Linked DNA regions of Arabidopsis thaliana. The protein of the gene in region 3 interacts with the protein of the main gene of each other region in a pairwise test. Each region holds a gene or a part of one and is shown on either strand. Other genes may lie near its edges. The genes, in order: UTR3, UTR2, AT4G21570 and RUS3.

The links.
Region 1: the proteins of AT4G21570 (region 3) and UTR3 interact in a protein complementation assay, tested with the Arabidopsis thaliana proteins (one large-scale study listed by BioGRID).
Region 2: the proteins of AT4G21570 (region 3) and UTR2 interact in a protein complementation assay, tested with the Arabidopsis thaliana proteins (one large-scale study listed by BioGRID).
Region 4: the proteins of AT4G21570 (region 3) and RUS3 interact in a protein complementation assay, tested with the Arabidopsis thaliana proteins (one large-scale study listed by BioGRID).

What each region holds. Positions count from the first base shown.
Region 1 is NC_003070.9:4,908,692-4,916,131, forward strand, and holds UTR3 (UDP-galactose transporter 3), read right to left. Parts: upstream 4,477-7,440; 5' UTR 4,339-4,476; coding exon 4,235-4,338; intron 4,046-4,234; coding exon 3,948-4,045; intron 3,853-3,947; coding exon 3,722-3,852; intron 3,608-3,721; coding exon 3,577-3,607; intron 3,492-3,576; coding exon 3,388-3,491; intron 3,296-3,387; coding exon 3,174-3,295; intron 3,077-3,173; coding exon 2,671-3,076; 3' UTR 2,402-2,670; downstream 1-2,401. Other genes in the region: FLP (Duplicated homeodomain-like superfamily protein), read left to right, coding at 129-185, 287-359, 466-521, 618-785, 881-1,175, 1,271-1,413, 1,493-1,760, 1,846-1,956; APK2A (protein kinase 2A), read left to right, coding at 7,168-7,234. UniProt on the Arabidopsis thaliana protein: Essential sugar transporter required for the transport of UDP-glucose from the cytoplasm into the Golgi and the endoplasmic reticulum. Essential for pollen development and involved in embryo sac progress.
Region 2 is NC_003075.7:12,057,930-12,066,328, forward strand, and holds UTR2 (UDP-galactose transporter 2), read right to left. Parts: upstream 4,930-8,399; 5' UTR 4,558-4,929; coding exon 4,435-4,557; intron 4,074-4,434; coding exon 4,045-4,073; intron 3,964-4,044; coding exon 3,762-3,963; intron 3,672-3,761; coding exon 3,429-3,671; coding exon of another isoform or gene 3,406-3,428; intron 3,360-3,405; coding exon of another isoform or gene 3,332-3,359; coding exon 3,230-3,331; intron 3,147-3,229; coding exon 3,006-3,146; intron 2,810-3,005; coding exon 2,702-2,809; intron 2,654-2,701; coding exon of another isoform or gene 2,620-2,653; coding exon 2,389-2,619; coding exon of another isoform or gene 2,378-2,388; 3' UTR 2,255-2,377; downstream 1-2,254. Other genes in the region: AT4G23000 (Calcineurin-like metallo-phosphoesterase superfamily protein), read left to right, coding at 42-374, 475-576, 851-1,148, 1,306-1,454, 1,533-1,718; AT4G23015 (uncharacterized protein), read left to right, coding at 2,378-2,653.
Region 3 is NC_003075.7:11,470,017-11,475,771, forward strand, and holds AT4G21570 (organic solute transporter ostalpha protein (DUF300)), read right to left. Parts: upstream 3,006-5,755; 5' UTR 2,720-3,005; intron 2,260-2,719; 5' UTR 2,254-2,259; coding exon 1,987-2,253; intron 1,904-1,986; coding exon 1,781-1,903; intron 1,695-1,780; coding exon 1,110-1,694; 3' UTR 819-1,109; downstream 1-818.
Region 4 is NC_003070.9:4,718,068-4,726,254, reverse strand, and holds RUS3 (root UVB sensitive protein (Protein of unknown function, DUF647)), read right to left. Parts: upstream 4,682-8,187; 5' UTR 4,539-4,681; coding exon 4,417-4,538; exon of another isoform or gene 4,308-4,416; coding exon 4,250-4,307; intron 4,170-4,249; coding exon 4,110-4,169; intron 4,034-4,109; coding exon 3,995-4,033; intron 3,905-3,994; coding exon 3,842-3,904; intron 3,742-3,841; coding exon 3,685-3,741; intron 3,573-3,684; coding exon 3,509-3,572; intron 3,414-3,508; coding exon 3,330-3,413; intron 3,238-3,329; coding exon 3,155-3,237; intron 3,065-3,154; coding exon 2,935-3,064; intron 2,860-2,934; coding exon 2,767-2,859; intron 2,645-2,766; coding exon 2,506-2,644; intron 2,435-2,505; coding exon 2,391-2,434; coding exon of another isoform or gene 2,290-2,390; coding exon 2,102-2,289; intron 2,009-2,101; coding exon 1,910-2,008; 3' UTR 1,740-1,909; downstream 1-1,739. Other genes in the region: AT1G13780 (F-box/RNI-like/FBD-like domains-containing protein), read right to left, coding at 1-222, 318-458, 547-1,482, 1,563-1,574; AT1G13760 (uncharacterized protein), read left to right, coding at 5,154-5,292, 5,832-5,890; AT1G13755 (Defensin-like (DEFL) family protein), read left to right, coding at 7,017-7,074, 7,193-7,494; AT1G13750 (Purple acid phosphatases superfamily protein), read left to right, coding at 8,164-8,187.

The DNA.
Region 1 (7,440 bases), on a different chromosome or scaffold from region 3:
GCTATGAAAAGTCTTTTTTTTTCTTATATAAAATTTTTTTCCTTGGAAAGTTTTTGTTTTTTGAAAAGATGGATTCTTAAAAGAGGTTGTTGAGATATGGTTTCCGTTGTGTGTTTTGATGATATTAGTTGGGCGATCATTGCATCAAAGTTCAAAGACAAAAGCACAAGACAATGCAGAAGAAGGTTACTGAATCGATTCAATATCTGTTTTTCTGTTTTTTTTCTGTAGGCAAAAACTTTCCTGGGTTCTGTTTTGAAATCCGGAGATGGATTTTTGTTTGCAGATGGTATACATACTTAAACTCTGATTTCAAAAGAGGAGGTTGGTCCCCTGAAGAAGATATGCTTTTGTGTGAGGTGACTTCACTTACACAGACTTCCATTACATGGATAAGATTTTTAAGTTTGGTGTTTGTGGTTTATGTCTGATCTTTAATGGACTTTTGTGTGATTGGTTTCTCAGGCACAAAGAGTATTTGGTAATAGATGGACTGAGATAGCAAAGGTGGTTTCAGGCAGGTATAGCTCAAGCTCAAACTCTAAAGGTGTAGGTGAAGTCATCATTATAAGACCAGAGTGGTTAAACTAATGTTCTGTTCGTTATGTGTTTTGTAGAACTGATAATGCTGTGAAGAACAGGTTTACAACACTTTGTAAGAAGAGAGCCAAGCATGAAGCTATGACTAAAGACAGCAACTCAAACACCAAAAGAATGTTGTTCTTAGACGGTATCAGTACACCGCGAAAATCCGAGAATGAAACTCCTATTGCTAAGAAATTGAAGTAAGTTTTGTTTCTTTTTTGATCAAATAAACTTAAGTTTCCTGAGTGTGTTCACTTTTCACAAATTTCATGGGGGTTTGTTGGTTATTATACAGGAGAAGTCACATTCTAGATCTCACAGAGATCAGTAACTATGGAAGGGCCGAGGCATGTGTGAATCAGCAGATAAGGTCTCCATTTTCGGTTTTAGCTCGAAATGCCACTGGTATTGATAGCTTGGAAGAACAGAATCAAACAAGCAATGTGAATGAGAGTGATGGTGAAGGGATGTTTCTTAAGAAGGATGATCCAAAAGTGACAGCTTTGATGCAACAAGCTGAACTTTTAAGCTCCTTGGCGCAGAAAGTTAATGCAGACAACACAGAACAGAGTATGGAGAATGCTTGGAAGGTAAACCAAAAAACAACAAACTTCGCAGCATATCAAAATAGCGAAAAGTTTCAAGCTTACTAATAACATACCTCTTGTTGTATGCATATATACAGGTTCTTCAGGACTTCTTGAATAAAGGCAAGGAGAATGATTTATTCAGATATGGAATACCTGATATAGATTTTAAGATCGAGGAATTTAAGGACCTTATAGAGGATTTGAGGAGTGGTTATGAAGACAATCAATTATCTTGGAGGTAGCTTTTCATCACCACAAAAATTTTGTGTTCATCTTAAGGTTTTGATTGTATAACCATTTCATTTGATGTTCTTTAGGCAACCTGATCTTCATGACTCACCAGCTAGCTCTGAGTATAGTTCCGGATCAACCATCATGGTGGATCAGTCTGGTGATAAAACACAACCATTCTCAGCAGATACTCAGACAGAACATAAGCAAGTTGGAGAGGAGTTGCTCGTCCCGAAAAATCCTGATGAGAATATGCCCATCTCAGGCGAAGAAAAGTTCAGCTCGCCTATTCAGGTCACGCCATTGTTCAGATCTTTGGCAGACGGTATACCAAGTCCACAGTTCTCCGAAAGTGTAAGCTTCGCACCTTCTTTGTTCATCATACAATACTTAGGCTTTGAAAAAACAATGAGTCTTAAAAGACTGATTGCTTTTGTAGGAGAGGAGCTTCCTGCTAAAAACACTAGGGATCGAGTCCTCATCTCCATGTCCAAGTGCTAATCCTTCAAAACCACCCCCTTGCAAAAGAGTCCTTCTCCATAGCTTGTAAACCAACCAACCATCTCTCTCATACCCTAAACCGCGGTTTAGTCTCCATGGAGACGTAATTTTTTCCACTTTTGCTTAGATTTCATATTAGGTTTTGCAGCCATATCGGCCTGGAAGTTTTTGTGAAGCGGGCATGCCATGATCTGCATTCCTCCCTCAAGGTTTTTAAGTTTCTTTCCTGGTCCTAGAATGTTAACGGTAACATTTTCTAGCCCCATCAAAGAATGTTCTCAAGAATCTGCCATATACTCAGATTCAGATTTCTCTTTCTTTTCTTACTTAACATAAGGAAGCCATCTACAAAAGAAGGCACCAGTGTGTCTTTAAGAAAAAATTCTTTGGTTTGTCTCTAAGGGCTTTACTCAGATACATCATCTGAGCATTTTCCCCAGATTTCTTGATTTGTTTTCATCATCTCTGTACAGAATCTCTATCACATATATATAAAGAAGTTTTCCAGAGTGTAACTTTAGGAAAAATGAAAAACTCAGAAGGAAGAGTTTGTTGTATTGTTAAGACAAATATATATGAGTGGAAATATATGATTTGTCTTTTGGTTTGATATATATAAGTTTCTTCTAATGCATTAGTTTACATTTTGCTAATGGACTAAGCTTTCTTCTCTCTAACTTTCAGACATATTTGGAAGTAAAAAGTTTCCAAATCAAAAACAATTTTCTTGAAGAATTAAATATTTTGATCCCCAATCTCAGCTTCAGGCCTTTTTCTTCTTCTGCATTCTCTGCAGCTTCCTCCATTTCAGGTAAATTTGGTAAGACAATCCACCGAACACCATCGACACACATCCCCATTGTTTGGAAGATAACGGATTCCCGCTCAAAACTGAAGATACCACGATGCTTACAAACTTCCTGGTTGTGGTTATGGTCGTGTTAGCTAGAGACCCGAATCTGCTTATTGTCAAGAAGATGAAGTTTTGGCCTACTGCACCGCATAAACAGTACATAAGAATGTCCCATGCTGCCTCAGGGTGTTGCTTGCAGAACTGCACAGCTTCAAATCCGCTCCCATGTGGCAATCCAAACATGTAGACCATGTTGTATATGGTTCCCCATAAATTCATTCCCAGCATTATGTCCCATGCGTTAGTTTTGGGGTACCTGTATCCATGTATGGCGATGATTAATGTCCAACATCTAGACCATGTTGTAGATGTCAGACTGGGTTAAGTATCTGACAGAATGTCAAGAGTCATACCTTGCGGTAATGGAATCCTGGGTTGCGTTTGTGAATCCATCAAAGGCAAGGTTTAAGAAGCAAAGCCCGTAACCAAGGGGTGCATTGGGATGTGCTAGCTTGCTGATGGTTTTAGAGCTTGTCTGTAAACCAAGTCAAAGACGGTTTACTACATTTCCACAGACAAAGTATAACAAAGATTATGATCAAAGTTCCTGAATGCAGATTTGCCTACCTTAAGAAGGGCAAACATAGATACTCCTCCGGCAACAAGAAAGGTGCAAAGATACTCAGGCAAAGTGTATCTTATGCCATAAACTAAGGAGCCCATCAGCATAACTACATGAAAGAAAAAACATATATAAGATACACATAGCAGCAGTTGAGAGCGATTATGGATTGATGCTCTAAATTGACACCTCACCTGGAATCATTTTGGAAGATTTTGCAAGGACCTGCAAGAAGCAAGTTTTGCATCAATATTACTTCCCAAGAAAGGTTATTACCTCAACTATCAACCATAATCAAGAAAAATGAGGTTTTTATTACACTAACAATGCCTAATTTACCTGAGCTGGGTAACTAATATACTTTAAAGCTTCAATGCCCATAGCAGGACCAATGGTATTAGTAATGCCAGCACTCCAATACGTCCACCATGGGGCTCCACCAGAACCTCCGTTGGACCAGAGCTTAATCACTGCTCATAATCAATCAAAAATACTTCAGTTCCATTTATTCGTCTGTTATAAACTTATAATTCTAAGGAATAAACAATGAAGATGCCCTACTCACTTATATAAGACCAAACCAAGCAGATTACATTCTGAGCCAAATTCAGAAATGCAAGATGCTCGAATCTCTTCCCATCTTCACCAAATTTCTTCGTCGACCTAATTCGAAAATGTTAGAGTTCTATCAGCTACATTTCTATAAATTTCCAATAATTGCAAACGCATCACCAACCAGGATTCCGAGAATAGAAACAATCTCGAACAAACAGAATCGAGCAATGTCGAGAGAAAATAATCAACGAGCTAAAATAAGATTGATCGATTTCGACCCTAACGAGTTTTACTTACAAGGTCTCTTGAAGAATGCCTTGGTATATGTAAGCTGCCCAGATCCCAGCGACACAGAACGACAATAACAGAACTCGCCGGAGACCGGAACCGTGAGATTCCATCGCCGCACGTCGCTTATTGTTTTATCCGACGGAGCTCCGGCGAAAATTTGAATTTCAATTTTACGCTATTTGATCAGTTTTGCGATCAAATTATGAGATCGGTCTGAAGTGGAAACGAAAGTTATTAGAGAGAGTGTAGGAGGCGCGAGAAAGACGTAGATTTTCCACGTGTAACTGTGTCATTGGCTTAATAATCTGACATGACACTTCTGATTGGCTATAGGACGTGGATTTATTTCTGGAATCCAAGTCATATGCACATTCATGTCTGAGATAGGAATGGGAACTATGTGCCGTTTTATTGTCATGAAAACGTCACGCAGTTTCCTAGAACTTGTAAACGGATGTTCTTTTTACAGCTTGGGCCTTAATTTGATTAAGCAAACTTGCACACAGCTAATCATGTCAGTTTGACTAACTGATGAATTCATACAAATCTAAGATCACTTGTGGTAAGAAAATGAAAGAAAAAGGCGTATATACACAAATGGAGGAAAGTTGCCAACATGATTTAATTGATTAAAATTTAGTGATGACCCATTGTTAAGATTACTAAAACAAAATATGATATATCTTAAAGTAAATGTGACAATAACGTCAACATAGCGAGAAAAGTTTGAAATATCGAATTTCCATTATATTAAAACAAGGTATCACATGCATGCACTCATGCATAGTTCATTATGATTTGAGTAATTTTCTATACGAATAATATTATACTATATCTCAATGAAAATAGAAGTTATATATATTGGGAAACGGAATTTATATGACATACTTAATCCTCATGGGAGAACCAATTATACATTTTGAAGAGTCAAAAGTCAAAACTCAAAAGAGTGACTCTTACCGGATACAAAATGAAAATAGAAGTCTTGGTGAGATAACAAATTAATGTGTAACATAACAATATAATATCATAAAAGATTCCAAATGGGGCTTTTGTCCACACGTGATATGCAATATGCAAAAGAAAAAAGAACTCTCTTTCGATCTGCCGGTCAATAACAATGTGAATATAGATTAACTGATTAATAAGTAGTTTCTTGGGTCAATGCATGGGATATTATATTTAAGAAATACACCAAAAATGTATTCGACGTTAGCCACCACGTTCCATTAAAAATTCAAATCTAAATGATGATTACCGTCGTCTACATCTATGATTACAAATTTTTTGTCTACTATGCGTTTAGTTATTTACCATGGTTTGACGATTATATATATAACACACATAAATTATGACGGTTTAACGTTGTCTCTTAACTCAAAACTTAATTTTACAAAAATATTATTTAAGAGTTGAATCTCATACTTTAATTATTCATTTGGTCAACTAGAATGCGAAAAATCCACAATACTTCGTAACTAATTTCGGGTCCTTTAAATCTTGATCACCTGTTGATCAACAAAAGATCTACACATAAAGATTGATTCATCCATTGACTAAACTTTTATTTATCGAAGAAAGACTATATATATCTAATGCATGCATGCCATATGCACAATAATCTAATAGTAAATCCAATACGTCTCAGAAAGATAAAATCGTCCATAATACCAAATTTTATTCTAAGGTTTTGATATCTCTCATAATTTGGAAGTGTATGTAAAAGTTTCTTAAACATAAATATAACATCCAAAGAAAAGTTGTAAACACTTAACATCTTGATTGAAGGGGAATCTCGCTAATAATTGTGACTGAACGATAGTAAGTATTATTGTAAAATATCGATCAAAATTTCAACGATATGGGCGATCCAGACCCACCACTTTGTTGTCCCTTAGCAGACGTCAACCATGACCATAATTAGTTAAAAAAAACACCAAACAAAAACCACAACTTCCTTTTAATTCTTTTTAAATTCTAAATTTCAGACTAACAAAAAGTATTCATAAGCTGTTTCATGTATGAATTTAATATCATGAATACTAATAACTTGAGCCATTAACTTTAACCAAAAAAAAAAACTTGAACAATCTAATATAATTCCCTGTAACATTTAAAAGATGGAGATGGGAAAACAAGAATTCTAAAGAAACATTGTAAAAATGAAACAGAGACAAATATTTTCAAGCAAGTCTTGTTTCATTTCATTTCTGTTTGAAAAATGACAAGTTTAAAGTCATGTCTCATATGTGTAATATTATTAACTTTAAAATATAACAAAATAAATATCTTTGATTACTTTTTGAAATGTTTTTTATCTCAAGAATTTGGAAATTTTCGTTGATTGATACATTATAAAATCTGAAAATTAGATGTGAAACACGACTTTTTGTCCACCACCAATCCTCCTAGAAATTATCAGTTTATCACTCGATTACTGAATGAATGAATGAGTTATCTCTGAAAAGTTGTCGTACCATTTATTATCCCACGCGGATTTACTGCCGTGAGCATGACGTTACCGTATCTATCTCAAATTACTAAAATTGTCCTTTCCGATGGCCGTCTAAAGGAACTAACTCGAGGGCATTTTGTCATTTTGAGAAATTGTTATGAGTTTGAGTACAAAACAAAAGGACACGACGACTTTGTATTATTTGCTTCAAATCCTCTGTTCTTCACCTTCCTTGTTCCTTCTTCTCTCCTTCTTTTTTATATAGATTTTCCTTTCATGTTGTAATACTTTTATTCTATTAGCGTTCATATTCAGCTAAACAGACATTGCGCCGCCGTTAAGTCGAAAGGATAGAAAGAAATTAAAGAAAGAAGAAGCTTGTTGTCTTTGCTTCTTGAGGCTCTCTTCTTGTCTTGATCATCTGTTACGTTGTTCCACGAAAAGAACAGTAGCTTTGTCTCTCCATATAGGGTTATTATCTGAAATGGGTAATTGTTTAGATTCATCAGCTAAAGTGGATAATAGCAACCATAGCCCACATGCTAATTCTGGTAACTATTTCCTCTCAAGTCTTTATTGCTTAATTGGGTTCTATGTTACAGTTTCTTGGATATTTCTTCTTATTCTCAAAATGGGTTTTTCGAATAAGTAATTTGTCCATCTCTGGATCATCAAAAGTCAAACTCTTTTGAATTGCTCTGTTTAGTACATGTGTTTGATCCATGTTTGTATCTGTATTGATGTTCTTAGCATCATG
Region 2 (8,399 bases), 590 kb from region 3:
AATTTTGTTGCTTTGATCAATGTTTTTATCTTTTCATTTAGGTTGGGGAGAATGATGCAGTGATCATTATCACACATGAGCCGAACTGGCTTCTTGATTGGTATTGGAAAGACGATACTGGAAAGAACATGCGACACCTGATATTCGAATTTTTGAAAGGAAGGTGTAAACTTAGAATGGCAGGAGATTTGCATCATTATATGCGTCATTCATGTACTCAATCAGATGGACCTGTTCATGTCCCACATCTCCTTGTTAATGGCTGTGGAGGGGCTTTTTTGCATCCCACCCATGTGTTCCGCTGCTTTTCAAAGTTTTATGGTGCTTCTTATGAAAGTAAATCTGCCTATCCTTCATTTGAAGATTCAAGCAGGGTAAACTTTTTCTTGTTTCTTGAACCTCTTATCCACGGTTACTGATTCGCCTTCTTTTCTTTGCATTCTGATATTTTATGTTGTTTGCTGTTATTTGCAGATTGCTCTGGGAAATATTTTAAAGTTCAGGAAAAAGAACTGGCAATTTGATTTCATTGGTGGCATCATATACTTTCTCTTGGTCTTTTCCTTGTTCCCTCAGGTGCGGTTTTACACATCTTTGACTTTATCAAACTCTTTTTCATATGAACTGTTTCTTGTTTCTCCATTTTATATTTATTTTCTCAGCAATGCAGCCTGACTTGGTCATTAAGACTTTTTTGTTAAAATGGTACACATTGTCAGCATCCACTATTAAATGGTCAAACTGAGACAGGCCTTGCATATCTGTAGTAGTGTTTTTCCTGTGCGAAGAAATTTTTATGCTCACTTGCACTCACGAGAAAGTTTTTATCTTCATTCCTTGTTGGTTTCAGTGTGAGCTAGGCCATATCTTACGAGGCGATTCATTTTCTGGCCACTTGGGGAGTTTCTTTGGCACAGTTTGGAGCTCCTTTGTGTATGTAACAGAGCAGTCATATGTGTCTTTCACCGGGGTTCTTATGTTGCTAATAACTGCAATTATGTTTGTTCCCTCAAAAATATCTCGGAGGAAACGACTGTTAATTGGAATTCTTCATGTTTCTGCACACCTGATGGCTGCTTTGATTCTTATGTTGCTGTTGGAACTCGGCATAGAAATCTGTATTCAGCATAAGCTCCTTGCAAACTCCGGTCAGTTTCCTTTCCATAGAATGTTGTGGCTTTCCTCATTACAATGTCATTGACACAAGTGGACAAAAAATATGTGATCCTACTTTAATTGATATTTTTTTGTATCTGTGATCAAACCTTAATGGATTTTGAGATTTTCAAACTTTTTGCTACACAGGGTATCATACATTGTATCAGTGGTACAAATCAGTAGAAAATGAACATTTTCCGGACCCTACTGGCCTCCGAGACCGTATTGAGCAGTGGACGTTCGGATTATATCCTGCCTGCATCAAGTATCTTATGTCAGCATTTGATATTCCCGAGGTAAAATCGTCAACTTAGCCTTCGTTTTAGCTGAAATAGAAAACTATTTTTCAGCCGAAAGTAAAGTATTTGACATAGGTGATGGCGGTTACACGGACTAACATCTGTCGAGAAAGGAATGGGAGTCACTTTCTCGAAGCGGAGCAAGCCATCTATTATGCTTCTGTGTTCCTCTACTTTTGGGTTCTTCTCAACCCCTGTTGTATCTTTGGTTTTTGGAAGTTACTTATATATATCCATCAACTGGCTTCACATACACTTTGATGAAGCATTTTCTTCACTTCGGATCGCCAATTAACAAATCATTCACCCGTTTCCAACATCAAACCTGATGGAGACCTTGAAGTCTTCACTCTCGGAGTAGACAAGGTGAGAAAAACAACTCTCGAAATGACAAAAGAAAAAGTTTGTGATTATAGAATTAAACAGAGGAGTGTATGTGATGAATGAGTACAGGTGCCAAAGGAATGGAAGCTGGACAAGGACTGGGATGCAGAGCCGAGATCGACTGTGAAAATGAGTCATCACAGAAGGTTTCCAAGCAAATGGTGTGCAACAACATTGCAGCAGGATCCTGTCAACACCGTAAAGATTGTCGATAAGTTTGTTATTCATAGATCAGAGAAAGAAACTGGAGGATCTTAGATAGAATCAGGTTCTTCACTGATCCTGTCGTTTAGAATGTAGTCATTAGCGTTTCCCGCTTTATGAATAGGCTTTGAGACGAATAATGCTTTCTTCTGAGAGTGATGACAAAAATAATTCATATCATAGTTAACAATTTAACAGCTCAATCTTTTGCAATTTCACTTTAGAATCTAATAACAAGTCTCTGACACAACTTTAACTCTATTTTGTGTCTCCTTCATCCAACATTATTCTATAAACCCTTTGAATTTGTGAGATAAAATATATATAAATACATGGCACATTCTCAAACCAATGACTTCCTTTCTTCGTCCTCTTCTCTATCACCATCGCCTCCTGCGATCCTAACCGCTGGTCTCGCCGGAATCTTGGCCGGAGCTTTACTATCCATTGGAACCATCTTCAATACAATCCCCATTGCTATCAACAGCAAGCCTGATCCGTGCTGTTCCGTTAACGGCTTTGTGAATATCAAATACGACAGCAACAATGTAACCCCTTTCCTAGCCGTTGTTATCTACACACAACGAAATGTGATTTTAGACCATTGAGTCAATTAAAATACAAATGAGTATTCAAAGATAAGATTAGATATTTACCAAGGCAGTTGTGGCGGCTCCAAAGAGAGCAATAAGCGAGAGAACGGAGACTTGACCGATAAATGTGGCCATGGCTTCAAATACAAGCACTCCATACACATACGGATGCTGCAAATATAAACAAAGCACAATTGGTTTTAAATATGTCAACCAATGAATCATTAAACCGTTTGACTATAAAATATTCCACGTTGGTACTTAAGTTATGGAATCAATGAATTTAAAAGAGACAATTTGGCTTTTAAAAAGTTTGGCAGATTCAGAGGCACGTCGTCGGTCAATGATCTCTCTCATTTCGTGGTACCAAGAATCCTACAAATTTTGACTTTTTCTCTAAACTGAGTCCAACTCCGGTTTGAATCATAAACCGAGTCAAATCTATAGAAGTACTTTCAAAGCCAAATAAAAGGTTCCACTCTTTGTCACTTTCACTTAAAATGGACGACTATCTCATAAGGTTAACTTGGTTTGGTTAAAGGTTGACCAAAAGTCAAACCAGAAAAAAGAGAACAGAGGTTGTTTACTTACTTGTGCACACGCAGTCCACGCACGAAAAACCTCTCCGGTTAAAACCATGGGAACGAACAAGAACGGTAATCCAACAACTGTTGAGCAGAAAAGCATCTCCATCTGCACAACACACATAACAAGAGTTAATCTCAGAAACGAAACAAAACAGACCGGTAAAGGAAAACCGAAAGAACCGTGTTTTCTTTAGTTTCCTTGCCTGAGTTGTCTCAGGATTCATTGTGAAGATAGCTTCTTGCAGATTACCCAAGAAAGCATCCATGATCAATGCACCGGTTATCATCATAATCCCAATCATACTGAAATTTGGAGACATTTGCGCATCGGCTAATGTGAATAGGATCAAACCAAGAACAAGCAAGAACGCTGAAATGTATTCATGGACTGGGTATTTTCTTCTAAGACCGGGTATAAACGCTCCCATTATCATCACCGGTAACACCTAAAACATCCGAAAGATGGTCATTCCGATCATTCTTTAAACTCAATTTAAACTCATTGAGACTGTAATTGGGAAATGTGGATCTATTACCTTGGTGGATTTGAACATGATTTGAGCTGGATAATTGAGATAAGCCAAAGATCCTTTGGTTAAACCATGTGAACCCATGAGAACAGCAGAGAGTTTGACATAAGTTCTCATCGGATTAACTATATGCTTTGTGGTAAAGCCTTGAAGGTAGATTAGAAACAAGTAGACAAATCCTTGTATAAACGTGAAATACCACCCAAAGCTACAAAGACAGAGCAAAATCCCATTGTTAACTTTTGTTCAAATCTAAAACTTAAAAGAGTAATCAAAAGTTGACTTTTACCTAAATTGAAGACGATTATAAACATATTCCTGCAAAACCAAAGAAAAATAAATCAAGTCAATGATCATATATGAGTACTTGTAGATCCAATCACATTCTCTAAAATCTGTTTTCTTTACAAAGATCACAGATTTTTTGTGATCTCTCACAAGTTTGGAGAGAGTTTAGTTCGTCATGCAATTTTTTCTTCTTCCTCTGTTTTTTTTTCTCTCAGAAACAAAACATCAAACACTTAGCATGCAAGAGATTGAAAATGCAAAAAAATTATAAATTTACGAGATTCAGGAGCTGGGTATGTGGAATTATGACAAAGAACAAACAAAAACATTAACGTTGATTGATTATGTATCAAAATTCTCGAATCAAATTGCAAAAAAGAGAGAAACGAACCTCGCAAACACCGTTAACGAGATAACCAAAAAAGAAACCAGAAGTGCAAATGAGAAACTGTTGCCAAGTTGGTTTATCAGACAAAGAGATTCCAAACAGAGATCTTGTTTGTTCCTCCTTCATTTTTCTTTTCTTTTCTTTGAGGAGAGATTCAAAGGAAGAAACCCAGAAAGTGAATTAAGAGTAATTGATCAAACACATGTAAAGTGATGACTCATAACGGTATTATTATCACTCCTCGAAATAACGAAAACCACACCACAAAAAGGGTAATCAAAGAATAATTAAAACCAAATTCTTCACTCTCCTCGAGAAACTTGATGAAGAGGGAAGAGAGAGTTAATAGATGTATTGGTAAAAGAGGAGGAGGAAGAAGAGAGCTTTTAAGAAGGAAGGAGAAAACGCATGAAGAAGAAGAAGAAGAAGAGACTCGTCGCGTGATTTGCCACTTCGGGACACGTTTTTTCTCCATTGAGCGTTCTTCTTCTTCTTTTTACGTTTCCTGTTACTCTTTTTTTTACCGGTAAAACTCAAATTTGCAAGTAAGACCCTTAACGTTTATGTATGTTTGATTTAAGTCTGAAACTTTTGTTTATCTACACACCACGACAAAATTTGCATTACCAGCGTGGCACATTTTTTTGTCTTAAGTCTTTTATTGCATGATCTCATGTTTGCTAATTACGATCATATCATATTATTACCAGCTTGGTATATATATATATATAAAATTTGGGTTTTAATGACAGTTTGTGTTGTATATGTGTTGTTTGAAAAATGTATTTATAATAAATTTTGGTATAAAAATAAGAAAAATAAATGCTATGACTTATCAAATAAAATTATCTAAATTTGTCTATAAAAAAAAGTATCAAAGTAAAATGGAACAAATAAGGGTAAAAATTGATATATAAGAAACATATCAAATCAGATCTTGCTAGTCAAAATTGTAAATTTTTATCTACATTTAGGATCTGTATATTGACTATGTTTTCTAAATAACATTTGTTAAAAAAAGTGAAAGAATTCAAAAAAGTAGTGTGACAATTTTTACAAAAACCTTAATTAGAAGTCTAAAATCATATGATATCATCAAATCTTGATATAAAGTAAAAAGAAAGTGTGTCACTGACTCTACACATTAGAAAACTAGAGGCACTAATAAAAAAAATAAGATAAACTTTAGGGGTGCGTTTTCATATTTTCTTTATTTGATGCAAAAGAAAGTTACTACTTCGAGAGAATAAGAGAATAAAAAGGAAAATTTAATAAAGATAATCAATATGGCTTACGAGTCAACTTTCCGGTTTAAGACAGATTGAGTCATTGTCTCAATAGACGCCATTACAGTCTGTCTTTTACAATTTCATCATCTTTCCTGAATTTTGTTTTTGTTATTTTCGGAAGTGATTGTTAAATGCGTTACAGAAGTTCTGGTCATGTCAGAATTACATATTGACATAACATCTGGACACGTTTTGGTAAAGAAATCAATTTACTCTTTTTCTTTTCATCTTCTATATCCATATTGAGCAATAAACTTCACACATGCATATTCATTCTTTCACCAACAGAGTAGTTGTTTTGTTCTAGTTGAAAACTCTAGTGAACAAATTTGGAGGAACATATACAAAATGTGTAAGCAAAATAATGACGATATTTAGTCAATGAATTGAAATGTTTTAGAAGAATTAGGTGGCGGTGTATGGTGAACAGTCGAAATATACATTATTATTGGCTATTAGTTCTAAAGAAGCGATTATAATCGTCGTATATGAAATAGCATATAGACAAAATGGTTTGTTTTAAAATAGACCGTTTAATAATAGCTTTGATTAGTGACACTGATAAGTTAAAATGGAATAGAAAATAAATTAACTATGAGTCTATAGTCATACAAATATCATATATGCATATAGGCGTCGCAAAGAGCCAAAGACCATATTCTTTTTTTTTTTTTGGTCAAAAGCCAAAGACCATATTCTTTTCTTGAAATACCAACGCGAAACTCAACAATAAATCTGATATTTATTTTATTTTTTGTTCAAAGGCTTAAATGAGAGAGCTTACTGCAATATTACAACAACAAAAAAATTGCAATTGGTATTAGAGATTTTTTCCTATCAAATTTATTTCTATTAGAAGGTCAAGCTTTACGTGCAATTGTATTAATACATAAAGTTACAAATGATAATCTCTACACATAACAAAATTGATCTTACTCGTAGATATTTTTCTTGCTTAAAACCATTTGTGTGGTTCATAATAAACGGAAGACTTCGATCGAGAGACTTTTGCATATGCAAGCAACCCATCACATTTCACAAATTGACAACAATATTATTGCTAGAAAACTATAGATTTATGTAGATATATATTTTATTCTTTTTTGTTAAAAAAAAATCAGACATTTACATTCAAACTCAAGCGAGTAAAAGAATCAAAGTCGTTAGAGAAACAATCCAGTGACGTACGGTCAAATAGTGTGGGCCTTAGCTTCAGCCATTTTGTACAGAGTACCGGAATCTTACCAAACACCGAAGGCAGGTCCAGTTACACTAGTTAGCGGTTACGTCTCCTTCTAATTTTCATAGATGAATTAGTTTTTTTCTTCTAAATAAAATACGAATTTTTAATAAGATTTTGTGTTATTATTGATTATGGACACTGTTACTGCCGTATTATCATGCGCAAAACAGGGTTGGCAAACTTATAATAGGTGATACTTGTACAATTTATCTATATACTTATTAATTCAAATTCAAGTATTTGTGTAGCTACTACTACAACTAGACGTGATAGTCAGCATATATGAATTATTCTTTCTTTGCTAGGAATATTTTTAAAATATTATAAAACTAAATTTTTAAAAGAAAAGAAAAAAAAATTATACACTTATACGTATAATTTTAAACAAGTAGTACTACTGTACAACTTATATACAAGTCCTAAAACTTAGTAAATTATATTTATATCGTTAAATTTGGCTTATTAATATTAAGGCATATAACTGAACATAGCACGAGTATGACTTTCTTGTATACAATAAACAGAACTATACAATATATATGTCCTATGTGACTACGTGTGATTACAAAATGCAGTGATATAGCCTATAGGTAATTTGCCCCCAAAAAAAACAAACTATAGGTAATATGTCGCAATTTTTGGTTAGTGCAACAAATGCAAATTATTAAAATCTAACAATATATTAGTAAACAAGTTTTCAAATATCGAAATTGTCTCCATGCGTTCAAGCGTCTCTCTCTCAGCAACAATGATTTGGTACGTAATTCTATTACATAGGGGAATTCGGTTTATTTCCTAAATTATGGGTTTCTTTTCTTACTGAAACAATAATTCAATTTTTGGGATTCGAGGTTAGATATATTTATGCACAGAAATTAGGTTTTGCTTTTAAAAAAAATTGTAAGAGAAATTTGTTACAATTTTCATTAAATATAAAATTAGGAGGATGCATGAGATCTCTAGTGACTCAAGTCATGGTTAACTTTAAACTGATTAGTTCTATATGTATTAACTTTACCACTCCTACGTTAAAGTTAATCCAGCTCAGATTAGTTGAAGCCCAAAAAAAACTATAGTTTAGGGCCCATTTCACTTAACGGCCGTTCATTATGCTTGAAACCGCTCAACATTAACGTGGTAATTTATTATTATCCTTTTTAGACTTATTTTTCATGAATTTAGATGATACAGTAGATGTTGTCATTAGATTTGTACTAGTTTACTTTTAATGTGAGATTCTATCAACCTTCTGTCGCTGAGATTTTACCGTAATCAAGTTCAAAGTTTAGAAGTTTTTGTTTGTTTCATCAATCTCTCATTACTCATTAAACATTCAGACAATATATGTCATACCATTTACAAAGATAATAGCACTATATATCATAAATTTAGTAATGCATATAGTATAATACATACATATGTGGCAAAGAAAACAG
Region 3 (5,755 bases):
CTTTACCCTAAATCATTGAAACCCAACAATCAAAATACCAAATTTCTACGTTCTACTGAAGCAAAAACCATAATTTATGAAGTGAGAGAGAAACTCACAAGGAAGCAAGTTGGGAGATTTCGATGGTAGAGCTACTTCTCCGGATTATAGAGGACAAAGATATGGAGATTGGAGAGAGAGAGAGAGAAGAGAGATTGGGAGATTGCGTGTGCTCACACGACACCTCTTTATGATGATGAATTGATGATGAAAGCTTTTCACGCGGTATGAACAAAACAACACGGAGGCAAGGCAACGAACTCTGTCTCTGTCTGGATCAACAACAAATCAATCACCATCGATTCTCGCGCAAATTAAATTAAATATAAATTTGATCGATTTCGAAAAACGAGAACTCGATTAACCCTAAATCGGAAATAATCTGACCTGTGGGCTGTGGAGTTGACAATCGGGTTATCAGAGAGAATCGTTCGAGCAGAGAGCCAAACCAATTCAATCCAGAGACTTTTTGTGTTTAGTCCTTTCGCACGCCTTTTCCCGTATATTACGTGCGACTTTTTTACCCTCCTTCAATTAATACATTACTCCAATTTTTATCTTCACAAATAAATTATTTTAATATTTTCATACATAAATGAGCTTTTGATTGGTTACAAATTCAGAACGATAGAATCATGAAAAATAATTTGATGATTTTTTTTAAGATTTCAACAACATTACTTTCGAATTTTACTACTCAATGAGAACGAGTGTTTTATTTTGTCACAGAAGTAAGAAGAATTTGAGTATTTGAACTGATTTTACAACAATTGAACAAAGACTAGAGTAACAATGGTGAAAAAGTTTCATTTCATGCATACGGGAAAGATATTAATATGAGTAGTGTTCTTTACTTCTTTTGATGAAAAGTGTAGTGGCTTTAACATTATTGTTCATATCATCTAAATTTTCAACTTTATTGTTTCTTTTTTCCCCAATCATGGAAACCAAAAGTTGTAAAGCAAAACCTTTAGATCTTTCTCCTCAACATAACAACATACAAGATCACCAAAGATTGGCTATAAAAATGGCTGGTTTAAAACCAGTCCATGTCCACTCTAACGCCCAAATCATTCGGTCTTTTTATCGAGTTTCTTCTTGGTCTCGCCGCTATAAGGACCAGCATGATAAGCGTGTTTCTGAACCGCAGCGAAGATAACCATCTCAAGACATACCAACACATTCTGAATTGCTTCTTGGATTTGTTCTACCTCCAACCAGAAATGGTGAGATTTTATGAATCCCATTGCCACCAGTATGTCTAGTGCTATTCCCTGCAGTTTCAGAATCAAAAGAATCTTATGAGTATATCCAAACATGAGAAATCTTGTTTTGAGGGGTTTACTGATTAATGCAAACATTACCTGCCAAAAGACAAAGAAGACAATTCCTTTGATGCAGAGGAACTTTGCGAGTGGATTATGAGGAGCAAGCTCCTTAGCAAACACATGGTAGAATATCACAAGAGAATACAAGGCCAGAGAAACCGAGAAATTGACAATGATAGTGAATGTCCAGCTCAACCATGAAGGATAAAACCCGATGAGCTGTAAAGCTATCATCAAAGTGGAGCACACGGGTCGAATGACCACAAATTGCCATGTCCAGTATTTCAAAAGTTTAAGAGTGTGACGATCCAAACGGACTACATGAGGCTGTCAAAACAATAGACACAAAGCTTTTAAGGGTAAAGAAGCAAATAGATATTAGATGAAATCATGCAATGAAGATAGAGACGAACCTGAAAAAGAGTCATTGGGAAAGAATGGTGAATCTCTCTTCCTTTGATTCCATCAGGCAAAATGTTTTTGCTCATAGATATGTTTAGATAACTATACATCAATGCCAAGAATTTGGCAATGACCTGCAAAATATCGAAAAAAATTGGTAAGTGTCGTCTCTACAATATGTTGTATACTAACACAAGCGATAAAACAATATACTCACAAGAGCTTCGTAGCATTCTTTGATGGATTCAAGAAAGAGGAAGAAGGTTTCACTTCCTTTGACTTCTAACAAACCAATAAAGGAAACAACGGCGTAGATAGGAGCCATAAGCACAATGATGAGTATAGCCTTTTGTTCCTTAGGGTTCTTCCAGTGGAAGAGATGCTGCGATACAAGCTGTATCGTGAAATGAAGTGTGAGCAAGACGGAAAACGCCGAGCAATAAAAAGTGATCTGTGGAGGCTTCAGTTTCGTTAGGTCCATCATTGTGTCCTGCATCAAAATTAATACACATAACTCTTTAGCATCAAGAAGCCATCAGACTTTGCACAAGAATTCTAATCAATCAAACATCTAAATCTTCACAAATGTTTCAGCATTATATTCAGCCAAATAGCTCCACATCAAAATTCACTCTTTAGCTTAACATTAATTTAAACTGTACAATGAAAAGCAAACATCTCATGAGATCTAGAAAGCTAAATGGTTGGAGCAATTAGATATCTCCGTATCAAAACAGAGTATATAACCGAATTAAAAACTCAAACTTTATAGATGACTGGGAAAACGGGTGATGAACTCGATAAACCCAATCAGACCCATTAATTTGAAAGGTCGAATTCTGATTTTGTCTATGTTCCCAAGACTGATTCAAAGCTAGATAAGCAAAATCTCTGTAAATCTGAACAAAGCAAAATTAGCTAACCAGAGAGAGAGAAAGAGAGGAACTAACCAGATAAGAGCTAGGGAAGAAGCGAAGATGAGACTCGGAGAGTGTGAAGAAAGTGAATCAGATCTCTTAGTAGTTAGATCATGAAGAATTGAGGGAGCATGAGACCGCCATTAATGGAGTCACAAACGTGGTCGTATTATAAAAATGGCGACGCGTTTACCACGTGAGAGAGACGCTACGATTGCATAAAAAGAAGTCGGCATTGGTATACATGTGTCTCTCTGATTCGTCCACACGGTTTTGTCGCATTTGTTGGAGAAAAGATAAGTCTTTTAAACAGAGGTCGGTATGGTATGTATTTGGTTTCAAGGATTCATGAAATTGATATATGATTGTGATGTAAGTTATTGATTTTTTCTTCATTCATTACACGTCATGGGCTGAGAGAAGAAATCAAAAGAGAGGATTTGTATCTTTGAGCCCAAAAAAAAAAGGCACCATCTTGGACCATTGGTTTGGTTGGACCAAATAATATAATGATGTGGTGAAAAGTTTTTTAGCGGTTATGAAAATCAAAATAAAAAAAAAAGGCGGTAAGAAAAATGGCAATGCAGTAGAAATGGTGGTTCAAAAATGGTTTTAGAAGTGAGATCATCTTTATGCTCATTTATCTTGGGTTTGTTCGGGCTCTAACACCATGTACAATTTTAATCATTTGAAAATAAGTGGAAAGATCTATACATTTCATATACTTTATATACTTATGTTGAATTAGCTCCACATCTTATTGGTAATGGTTTGACAGTTTGAATTATAGCAGAAATAAAAATAAATATATAGATTTAAGAAATATAATTGCTCCAAATGAATGACATATAGTTGAATGATTGGAAAAATAGGTGCAAATGGTTGCCTAAAATTAAGAAGTTGAAAGAGTTGAATGAGCATTTATCTATTTTTTTTACCATTTAAGATGAATAAGTTGGAAAAATGATTCAACCCTTTCAACTTAAAAAGTTGGAAAAATAAACTAATTATAAAGAAATTTTTTCAACTTGTATATCTTCTATTTCACAGAGAAATGAGTTGAATAATATTCAACTTTTATTTTTCAACTCAAAATTTCCAATTATTTCATCTCTATGCAACCATTTTCAGCAAAACCAAGTTGAACATTATTCAACTCATTCATCTACAAAAGAGTAGATGAAATGGTTGAACAAGTTTCTTTTATAATTTGTTCATTTTTCTTTTTTTTTTGTTGAATGAGTTGAATCAATTTTCCAACCTATTCATTTCAAATCGTAAAAATAAAATAAATAGTTATTCAACATTTTCAACCTTTTATTTTAAAACAACCAATTCATCTAAATAATTTTATTACTTTATAACAATCGCTTGTTGAGGAGATGACTTAATCACTTTTCATTTTCTCTTCGTGAATTCGTTTTACTAAGTTTCCGTTACTTTCAAATGTACTCAAAACAAAAAAAACAATCGCTTGTTACTATAATAAAAGATCGATGAAACAAGATTCTAATGTTAAGCATTTTGAAATGTTACGAAACCGTACAAACAATTTATGTGATTAACGTCAAATGCATAAAAACGCAAACACAAAAAATAGCAGTTAAATCTTATAAAGATATTTCATAAAATATTACACACTCATGAAAGGTCTTAAAAGCTTAATTAGTTCTCATTATCAAAGAAAAAAATAAAAGCTTAATTAGTTCTTACCGAAAAAAACAAAGCTTAATGTTGATGAGTGAACGAGTCTTTCCACGTCGTCCACACTGTCCTCGTCGTCCTCGTTGTCTACGTCGTCTTCGTGGTCCAGGTCGTCGTAATTGGAAGTGGCGAGAGAAAATCCGATTTGGCGGTGCCCAAAATCAAATATCGTATGATATCTCTGAGTAAAGGCATTCCAAGAATATTGTAAACAAATTAATATATAAATTTAATTGATAAGTAATTTACGAAACAAAACGTACTTAATGTGACGAAATGGAGAGATAGTCCTCCGAAGTGAAATAAAAAGCACATCGGGCAAATAATTTGCTACCGCTGCTGCCACTTTGGCATTTGTAAATATCATCCTTTCCATATGACTAGAAAATAGAAAACGAAAAGAGAAAGTATTAAGTTAACATAAAACAACAAATAATAATAAAATGTTGTAAATAAAACTTACACGTCTACCACAAATTTGAGAGTAATCTCTCGGGTAATGAGATAGAAAAATAAATATAAATGATAAATTGCATTAGTAAATAGTATTTGATACAAAATAAAATTTAAACATTAAATCCTTTACTAACCGGGGGACCGTATATATACGGACAGCTCATATGAATTAAAGTTTTATGGGTGAGTGATCCTAAAAAGAAAAAGAAGATGTAAAGTTTATGTACTGAAAACACACATATATAGATAGACTCATTATTGTAATTAATTATTACATGATATCCGTTGACTTGGATGGAATGCATCCTAATGATTCATCTATTACCTTCAATGAGGTTGAAGTATATATGCTCAACGACAAAATGAATCTGATCAACATCCCGAACGATTGTTTCTCCTCCCAAATTATAGCTGTCACCATAATGAACTTATTCATAGTAATTCTGTAGCCACACCGACAATATATTTCGATGTAAAAATCTTTGATCCATCATATTTGTCCTAAAATTATTTCTAATTTATTTCTTATTTTTATTTGTTATCTAAATATACCTAATCTCATAGCTCTATTAATATTTTGACGTTAAATCATTGTATAATAAATAAATTGATGTACGTAACATGTTCAAATATATACATTTATTTTCAGTAGACTTTTAGACACACAATTTATATGATTAGAGTCGAATGCATAAAATCTCAAACGCGAAAAATAAGCGGTTAAACTTTTAAACACAAAATAATATAAAAATTGAGCGGTTAAATCCCAATTGCGGCGGTTGAATAGTACCGATCAAACCAAAGATTTTGGAATTTGACGGAACAAATAAACCGTGGAGCATTGGTCAATAACAACACTCTTTACTCTTTCTTCCGTTTGCTCGAACCATCTAGTCTAAGAGAAAGAAA
Region 4 (8,187 bases), on a different chromosome or scaffold from region 3:
GTAGATATCTGATTCCGAATAATGTTGAGGACAACCCATGAAACTCAGAATCAGTTTCTTGAGGACTGCTGAGTTTTCGAGAAAGTAACTCGCTATTTTCATATCCTGTTCCCCCCAGTCAAACAATCCTTTTATCTCAACATGTTCAAGAGTCGATACGAAACACCGAGGCACATTTACGAGTTCAAACTTCTCCATCACCTCCACTGGACATTCAGTTTCCTGAAAACACCAACAAAAGTAAAGCTAGGTATTCAATTATAAACATCCACAAGAGCCACAATGTTGTTACGCCAAAATCATTTAAGTTTTTTTACCAAGATTAAGTGTTTCAGATTCGGGAAGCTCTCAAGAAAGGCTGGCAAAAACTGTAACAAGGAGCTCGGGAACGCAGCCTCTACACGGGATAAGTTATTGAATTTGGGAATCAGTCCTACTTTTGAGTAAAGATCAAGGGCCTGCAACAAGAAGGAAAGGAAAAAATGGATGCTAGTGAGAGTTTCCCAAGTAGAAAAAGACCAAAATTTGTTGTACAAAAATATATACCTTCACTGTATTATGAGAGATGACCATATGTCTTACACTAGATATCCCGGTGAGAAAATCACGGATTTCATTTCTCTTTGGTAAGTCCTCCGGATCAAACATCCAGCCAAACCCGACAATGAATTTGATATCAAGGTCAATCATGAATAAAGAAGTAAGGTTCTTTACCACGATTCTATCGAAATGGTCTGCTTTAAGACTCATATACTCTAGTCCAGGAGCATCAATCTCAAATGTCTGTGTCACTCTCCTAAACAAAGAAAGTTTATGCCTAAACGGAATAGAAAACCTCTTCAAGCTTCGAGATCTCACACGCGTAACCACCAATTTATCATCATGAAGATAAATCAGTTCTTCAAGAACAGGACAACCTGAAACAAGCTTCTCCAGATTCATAGTACCACTACTATCCCATCGAACTTCTCGAAGATGCATGAATTTGAGACAAGGCAAATAGACAAACCCTGGATCCTCAAGACCCGAATACGAAAGCTTCAAAGAAACCAATGTCTTACACGAATAAAGATTCAGAGGCATGAACTCGATACAAGGATAGTCAATGCAATCATCAGCATCTCGATAATAGGTATTGCTCTCAACATCTAAAACTCGAATCCCGCGGCTAATCGCGTCACCAATCCGATCCGAGAACTTAATGATCTTATCTCTACTGTAATCTACCTTGAATTTTTGAAGACGTGACTCATTGTTAAACTGGAGAAATCTGTCAATGAAATCAATCAACAGTTTTTCGTTGTTGTTCTGAAAGGGGAAATCACGGCAGTTCAAATCAAGTCCGGGAACATTAAGCCATAGATTCTTCCATCTAGTCGATAAAACACTCGTCTTCACAGAAGCTTTAGTCGGAAGGTGTAACAGTATTTGACTAATCAAAGATTCCGGCAATTCGCTAATTCTATCAAACCCAGGCATGACCTAATAGCATTAACAAACAATAAATTAATCGAATTCCAAAAACTAGGGTACAAGTGTCTGACTATAAACGAAATACTCACCGTGGATTCCATTCGCCGGCGGAATTATTGGCCGGAGTTGTGGAATTAGCTTCAGCTACGAGCTAAACGATGAACATGAAGTGATAATGAAAGAGAATCACAAAATTGAAGTATTTATACGTTCGAAGCGGTTCCGATTCCAATTTTTGCGTTTCCAAAAAAATAAAACGGTTGCCATTATTATAATTCTTTAATTTTCCATTAATAACAAACGTTATACAATGTTAAACCGACATTTTACGGTTAAACCGGTATCGGTTACATGTTTTACATGACTTAGAACTAACATATTTTTGTATGTTTGCAACGAGTTAACAAACTATTTTGATCTTGAAAGGCGATAAAGCTCAGTCGAACTTAGCAGCGGAAGTGTGAGATATCCAATTAGCTCTCCAAGTAATGGAAGGCGAAAGAAGACGCTCTGTTTTCCAACCTCCTGATCTCAGCTACATGGGAAACAACAGAAAGAAAAAGAGTGAAAACAGTAGCTTTAGTGTCATAAAAACACGGTTTAACTGGTCCTAGTGATTTAATCTTACCTTGTGGAGCAATTCGTCATAGTGTTTATCAATCCAAGCTTCTCCTTCTGAATAAAAAGATGTGCTCTTTTCCATAAGGTTTGCCAAAACAATGGCATGAATATATGATTTCAACACATCTGCAGGTTTTGAATCTTTGTGCAAGATCACACTAACATTTCCCTTTATGTGAGCCAATAAATACTTAGCTGCAGGAGTGTACAACAACAGACAAGAACCGAGCTTACGTCAAGTATGGACAGAGAAACTAATGTCCTTGAAAGATTGTGGAAAAATAAATCAATCAAACCATTCTTGTATGAAGAAGCTCCAACACCATTTAGCAGCTGCAACCTGCACACAAATATGTCAAGCTTGAGCCGATTCTTTACCCGAAAATTATGATAATCTAGTATAGAGCTTACATATCTAGACGAGGGAGAGAGGAAACTCTCACACCTAACTGCACTCTCTTATGCAATGGCTTTGAATTCGTTGACCTCAATGAAGTGGCCCACAAGGGCAATACACCCTCCATTGAAGAAACCTGTTCGGGAGAGAGAACTGGCAACACGTTTAGTTAAAGAAAGTTATTGGTATATGGTGCAATAATAAAGAGAAACCAATAAAAAACAAAGGAAAGCCACTGAAAACTTGAAAGAATCAATGGCGCATTTCGAAATTACCTTGGCCAGTTTGAATGAAATGTGTTAGAAGAATTGAACTCCTCTCAAAGTTTAATGAATTCAATACAAGACACCGGACAGCTCTATAGTTTGCTAAATATATAAGAAAGGCAAACAGTGAGAGAAATTCTGATTTGATCTATGCTTTAACCTTCATTTGTGACTTACCATACATATGAAACACGGTGAGAGAGAGAAACGAAAGCCAAATAGCCATAGGGTTTCCAGAGGTAAACCGAGCTAGCAACATTCCCAATGACATACCCATCATAGTTGCCATAGTCTCTTGGCTTCCTTCCTTTCAATAGATAAAATAGAAGCAAAGAATTACTCAAAGTTCACATTTATAGTTTCTATATCATTCACAGTGACAAGAAGTAAAGAGTACCTTAGCAGATATATCCGCTGCATTGTCTTGAAGAGCAAAGTGCTGTGTTAGAGCTGCTCTGGTTGCTCCACTTGCAACACCAGCTAATAGCCAAGATTGAAAAAAGTTAAAAACCGATGTATCAATCCAAACCGAAGTCTTAACTTCAATGTTTGATGCAAGAAATGATACGCACTAAATGATCTTGATAGGCTCCCTAAGCAAACCACAACGATAAAGGCAGATGGAAACAAAGGAGAAAGAAGGTCCATTAGCATTCCTGCAATAAAAGCAACAAAGCTTGTAGTCATTCAACTGAGAACCAAATACAGGCAATTAGTATCAAGTGTGATGTGACAACTAACTTTTACATACCAATATCATTCATAAGGTCAGCAACTAGGCGCCACATTTTTGCATTGCTATCCAGGTTGGAACCCTGAAGAACAGAACAGTTCCCATTAAATAAGAACGTAACCAATCTAAATCTTAAAGAAAAGGGAAGAGAATCGATGTGTATTATGATTGGGAAGAATCTGCTACATAGGCACCTGATAAAATGTGAACAATATACCTCCAAGCATCCCAGTAAAATCCCTCAGAAACCACTGCATAATACACAAGATAGAATCACTATTCTCCATTGCGCTTTATAGTTCTTGAGAGAACTAGTGTGAAATGTTATATGTAAGCAATGGAAAAACTCACCTGAAATGTAGCACCTATAACAGTTGCGGATTTCTCACCAACGCCAATTGCACTCAAAAGAGCCTGAAAATAGTCCAAATCAGAAATGCTGCAGCAGACAAATTGGACCAAAATAGAGAACTCAGAAGCTCAAAAACTTTAGCTTTAGCTCACCTGAGTGGAAAGCATCATCTTTGTATAAGTTGAGAGGCCCTGCAACAAACATAGCCGAGAGTCACAATTCAAATTTCACAGTAGCTATAAGGCATACAAGCATATTCTCACATACCTGTAATGTGTCCCATAACTGAAACCCTACATAATCTGGAGTTACACTGCCAGGAAAGCCCTGCACTAGACAAAGTACAATTCAGCCAAACCCTAATCCGGAGGACAGATTCTAAAGGGAAAAAGAGAGAAAACACTTGCCTCTGGTACAAATGCTTGAAGAACTCGTCTCCACACATGATTAAAGCGATTAGCAGACCTATGAATCACTCACAGGAGACGAAAACCCAAGAAAGTTTCTCAATTTTGTTGTGAATCCACTGAAACTATCAGATTTGGATTGATTTCAAAGAGGAATAAAGAAGAACCTTTGGATAGAGAGAGAAGAGGAGGCAGTGATGGTTGCTGTTTTGAATAGCTTAGTGGAAGAAGAACCATTCCATTCTTCAAGAGTAATCGATCCGCAATCAGAGACTTGTTCTTCTCTCATGGCGAATTTTGGCTTCTTACGAGTGAAAAGAATCACTTATTCAAATGTTTAGACTTTATGAGTGTTTTGGACTTTGTGTTGGGTTTCAATTGCAATTGAATAGTCCAATGACCCAAATGTGATTGGACTTTGGGTTAGTAAAAGGTACGTTTTTGGCAAACGCAGGTCACATGTCCACATCATAGTCTTCTTTTGGCTCCCAATTGGATTTCTAGATTTAGAAACACTTAAACCAACAAGTCACGGAAGTGTGTGAAAGGAATGTTAATGCTAATGATCACCATATCTTTATATGCTTTGTGCCTATGTTTCTAGGTTTTGATCATCAGTCACCAACTTTATAAATGTTGTTTCCTACAAGTTATCTCTAGAACACAGTTGTATCACATTCATCTTCATCTTCAGACATTTGTTTTCATGATCTTCTTGTGAGAAATGGGAAACTTGTTGATGTTTTGGTGACTCTTGTGTCAATTCAAGAGGGAAAATCTCATCGAAAGCAACCTTTGTCAGGAGTTGCAATTCATAGGACACTGTTTGATGTGAATGAAGAAGCTTATGTCAAAGCTTCTCCAACAGTTCTCGGATTTGATGTAAAGCTTTGTGTTATTTTATATGATAAAAGCTTTACATTGCACCTTTTTCTTTGTTTCTACAGTGCTTCGATTTGTCTTACAAGAGTTAAATATGTCGATCCACCTCTACTGTGTTCTACGCCTATCAAGGTCTTTTCCTCATCAAGGTTTACTACGAGGTTTTGTGCTTCTCTTCTCTGCAATGAGTCTTAAATTTCTTTACAAATTCTTTAAAGTTTGATGTGTTACTAGTTTCTCTTCTTGTCAGGGTCTTTTAAAAGTATATGCAAACATCATTGTATTATATTAGAATATATATATATATATATATAGTATTCAGATTCATTATTTCAACTGATTAGATCTATGGAACAAATTGAGAGAGAAGAAGACAAGATTCTGAATTTGAACAGCAGCTAAAAAGCAAGAACAAATTTGACTTTTTAATTCCCTCTCAGAAAAGAAATGACGAACCCAAAAGTTCTTTCTAACTTAAGAAAAACTTGAGCAAAACTTAAGCAAAACTTAAGAAAAATTTAAGAAAAAAACATTCCATTTTCTTATCAAATTAGTTCTAATATTATCGTAGCTAGTGCTCAAATATCACCTAGGTTCATAACAGAGAAAACACATGGTACATATTTGGATTTTGGCCACAACTATTTGAGAAAAACTGTATGTATGTATTCGGGATCACGCCATCCAACCATCCTTGCAGGAGCCATTAAACGGGACTATTCATGTTGTTGCGGGAGGTGGAGGAGCCAGTCTAGATGATTTCTCTTGCATGCAGTCCAGCTGGAGCCTGCTCGGCGACAAGGACTTTGGGTTCGTCACCTTAATTGTCGTCGATCACTCTACCATTCAGTTCGAGTACAGGAGAAGCAGCGACGCAGTCATCCACGACTCTTTCGAGATAGCGAGGGAGTACAAAGAGATACTGGCGACTTTCACTTTGTAGGATAGGGAGAAATTAAAATAAAACGGCTATCTATTTTTATTTTGGACGGTTAATTGGAATAAAAATATCTGGTTTATTTAATATTGTCTTTATAAGTAAGTATTCGTGTAATAAACGATTGGTCGATTCTTAGTTTTTACTTGCGAATCTGAAGAATCTGATGATCGATGACGAAGATGATTCACTAAAGCCTCTTCTTCAATTGGAAGGTTCTGGTTCAGTAAAATTTTCCGGTTAAATTACTCAATAAGACGGTTCAGTGGTTAAGTGGGTCGATGTCTATTACTTAAAATGGATCAAGGTTTTAGAGGTTTTAAATAATGGATCAAATTAATTTCGTTTCTGAATCTGTGTAATCTTTTGTTGTTTTCAAAATGTTTTAAAGTTATAAAGAGGGCACCGTGCCTGTAGCAACATGTAATGATAGATCTCGATTTTGTTCCTATTCAATAGTATTTTGGTCACTAAATTATGTTTTTTTTTTAAGCATAAAATCATCTTTGATTTTTCTTTGATCCAATACTTATTTAGACATAAGCATTTGGACTAATGATTTTAGAAAATTTGCGTGGGTCAATCATCATCTAATATAAAGCATAGTCCACTAAATCTGATAAGAAATATATAGATAGACATTTAAATCGAAAAAAATCCTTTATTTCCAATTTTGCAACTCTTATTTGGTAAACATATCTAGTATTAATTAAAACTTTAATTAGATTTCCATGTTTATGAGAACTTTGTTGTTAGTCAAAAGAATCCAATAACAATTATACTTCAATTTCCACGTGTAAATATTAAAAAAAATAGTATCTAACCATCGCCTAAACTGGACTATAAAAATAAAAAAATCGATGAAGAATACCTTCAACTTCACCATTGCAAGATTTACCAAACAACCAAAAACTTCTCCAGTGAAGGAAAAAAACATCGACTTTGAAAATGAAGATCGCTTCCTTAAAATTGTTGTTATTGGTTTCTCTACTTTTTGCCGTAACCCGTAAGTAAACAAAAAATATTTAAAGTTTCATTTTGTGCTTTTAGTATTTTTTATTTACATAGTTTTTCATTGATTAATATGTTTTTTTTTGTTTCTTATCTCTTATTAATATATGCAGAAAATGGAATTAGCATTCAAAACAGTGAAACTTCTGTCAACCAAAACTCATGTATGCCGAATGAACCAAGATGCACCGGTTGTCCAGGTGGTGGTAGTGGTGGTTATCGTGGACCACCACCTCCATGTTGTAAGAATGATAGTGATTGTAAAGCGCATTGCCCAGAGGGAGGTTATTGCAGCAACCAATGCGACTGTGTTTGTAATTTGGTTAAAGTGATGAATAATGATGTTCGTTGCCAAGTAGATACTGATTGCAACATGAAATGTTCAAAGCAAGGCTATTGCAAATTGGCATCTTAAAGAAAACTCCTTTGTATATGCATGCATATATGATGAATGCTTAAAATAAATAAATATATTTCAATAACCGCAGGCGTTATACTTTTAGTGACTTGATTTATCTCTCTTTACTCGGATTTCATGCAAAACGGCCTAACAACAACAAAGGACTTATTATTCTTCTCTCATTGGATGGCCCATATGATATCCCAAAAGCATTGACACTTTGGATTAGAGATCATGTATAGCACGCCTTAGAAGAAGGATTTTTACATGAATGTCATATGGATCCAATGTATTAATCTTGTTTATGTTAAATTCTTGAGTAATCTTTTTCTCATTCAGACATTAAAAAATCTCGAGTTCACTAAATTTAAGCAATTTAAAATTCCGCTAATCAAAACTTGATGTGAATTCTTCTACTCCAGTGCAATGTAAATTGGCCGTTGACGAGCAAAGTCTTGACTTTTTTATATCATTGAGGGGGAATCTCAAGACTGGATATTCTAATTATTAAAGACTCTTCTTATTAATCTAATCTTCTTCAAAGTTTCAATCTTTGAGTTTCTCCGAAAGATTCAAAGCAAAACCAAGTTAGTTATAATGTCCTCACTCTGTTTCTTTTAATCCAATTGCTAGTCTTTTTGCATCTTTCTTGTGCCCGCTCGAATTGTTTCAGTCTTAGAAGACATGAGAGAATCGTTAGTTGCAATC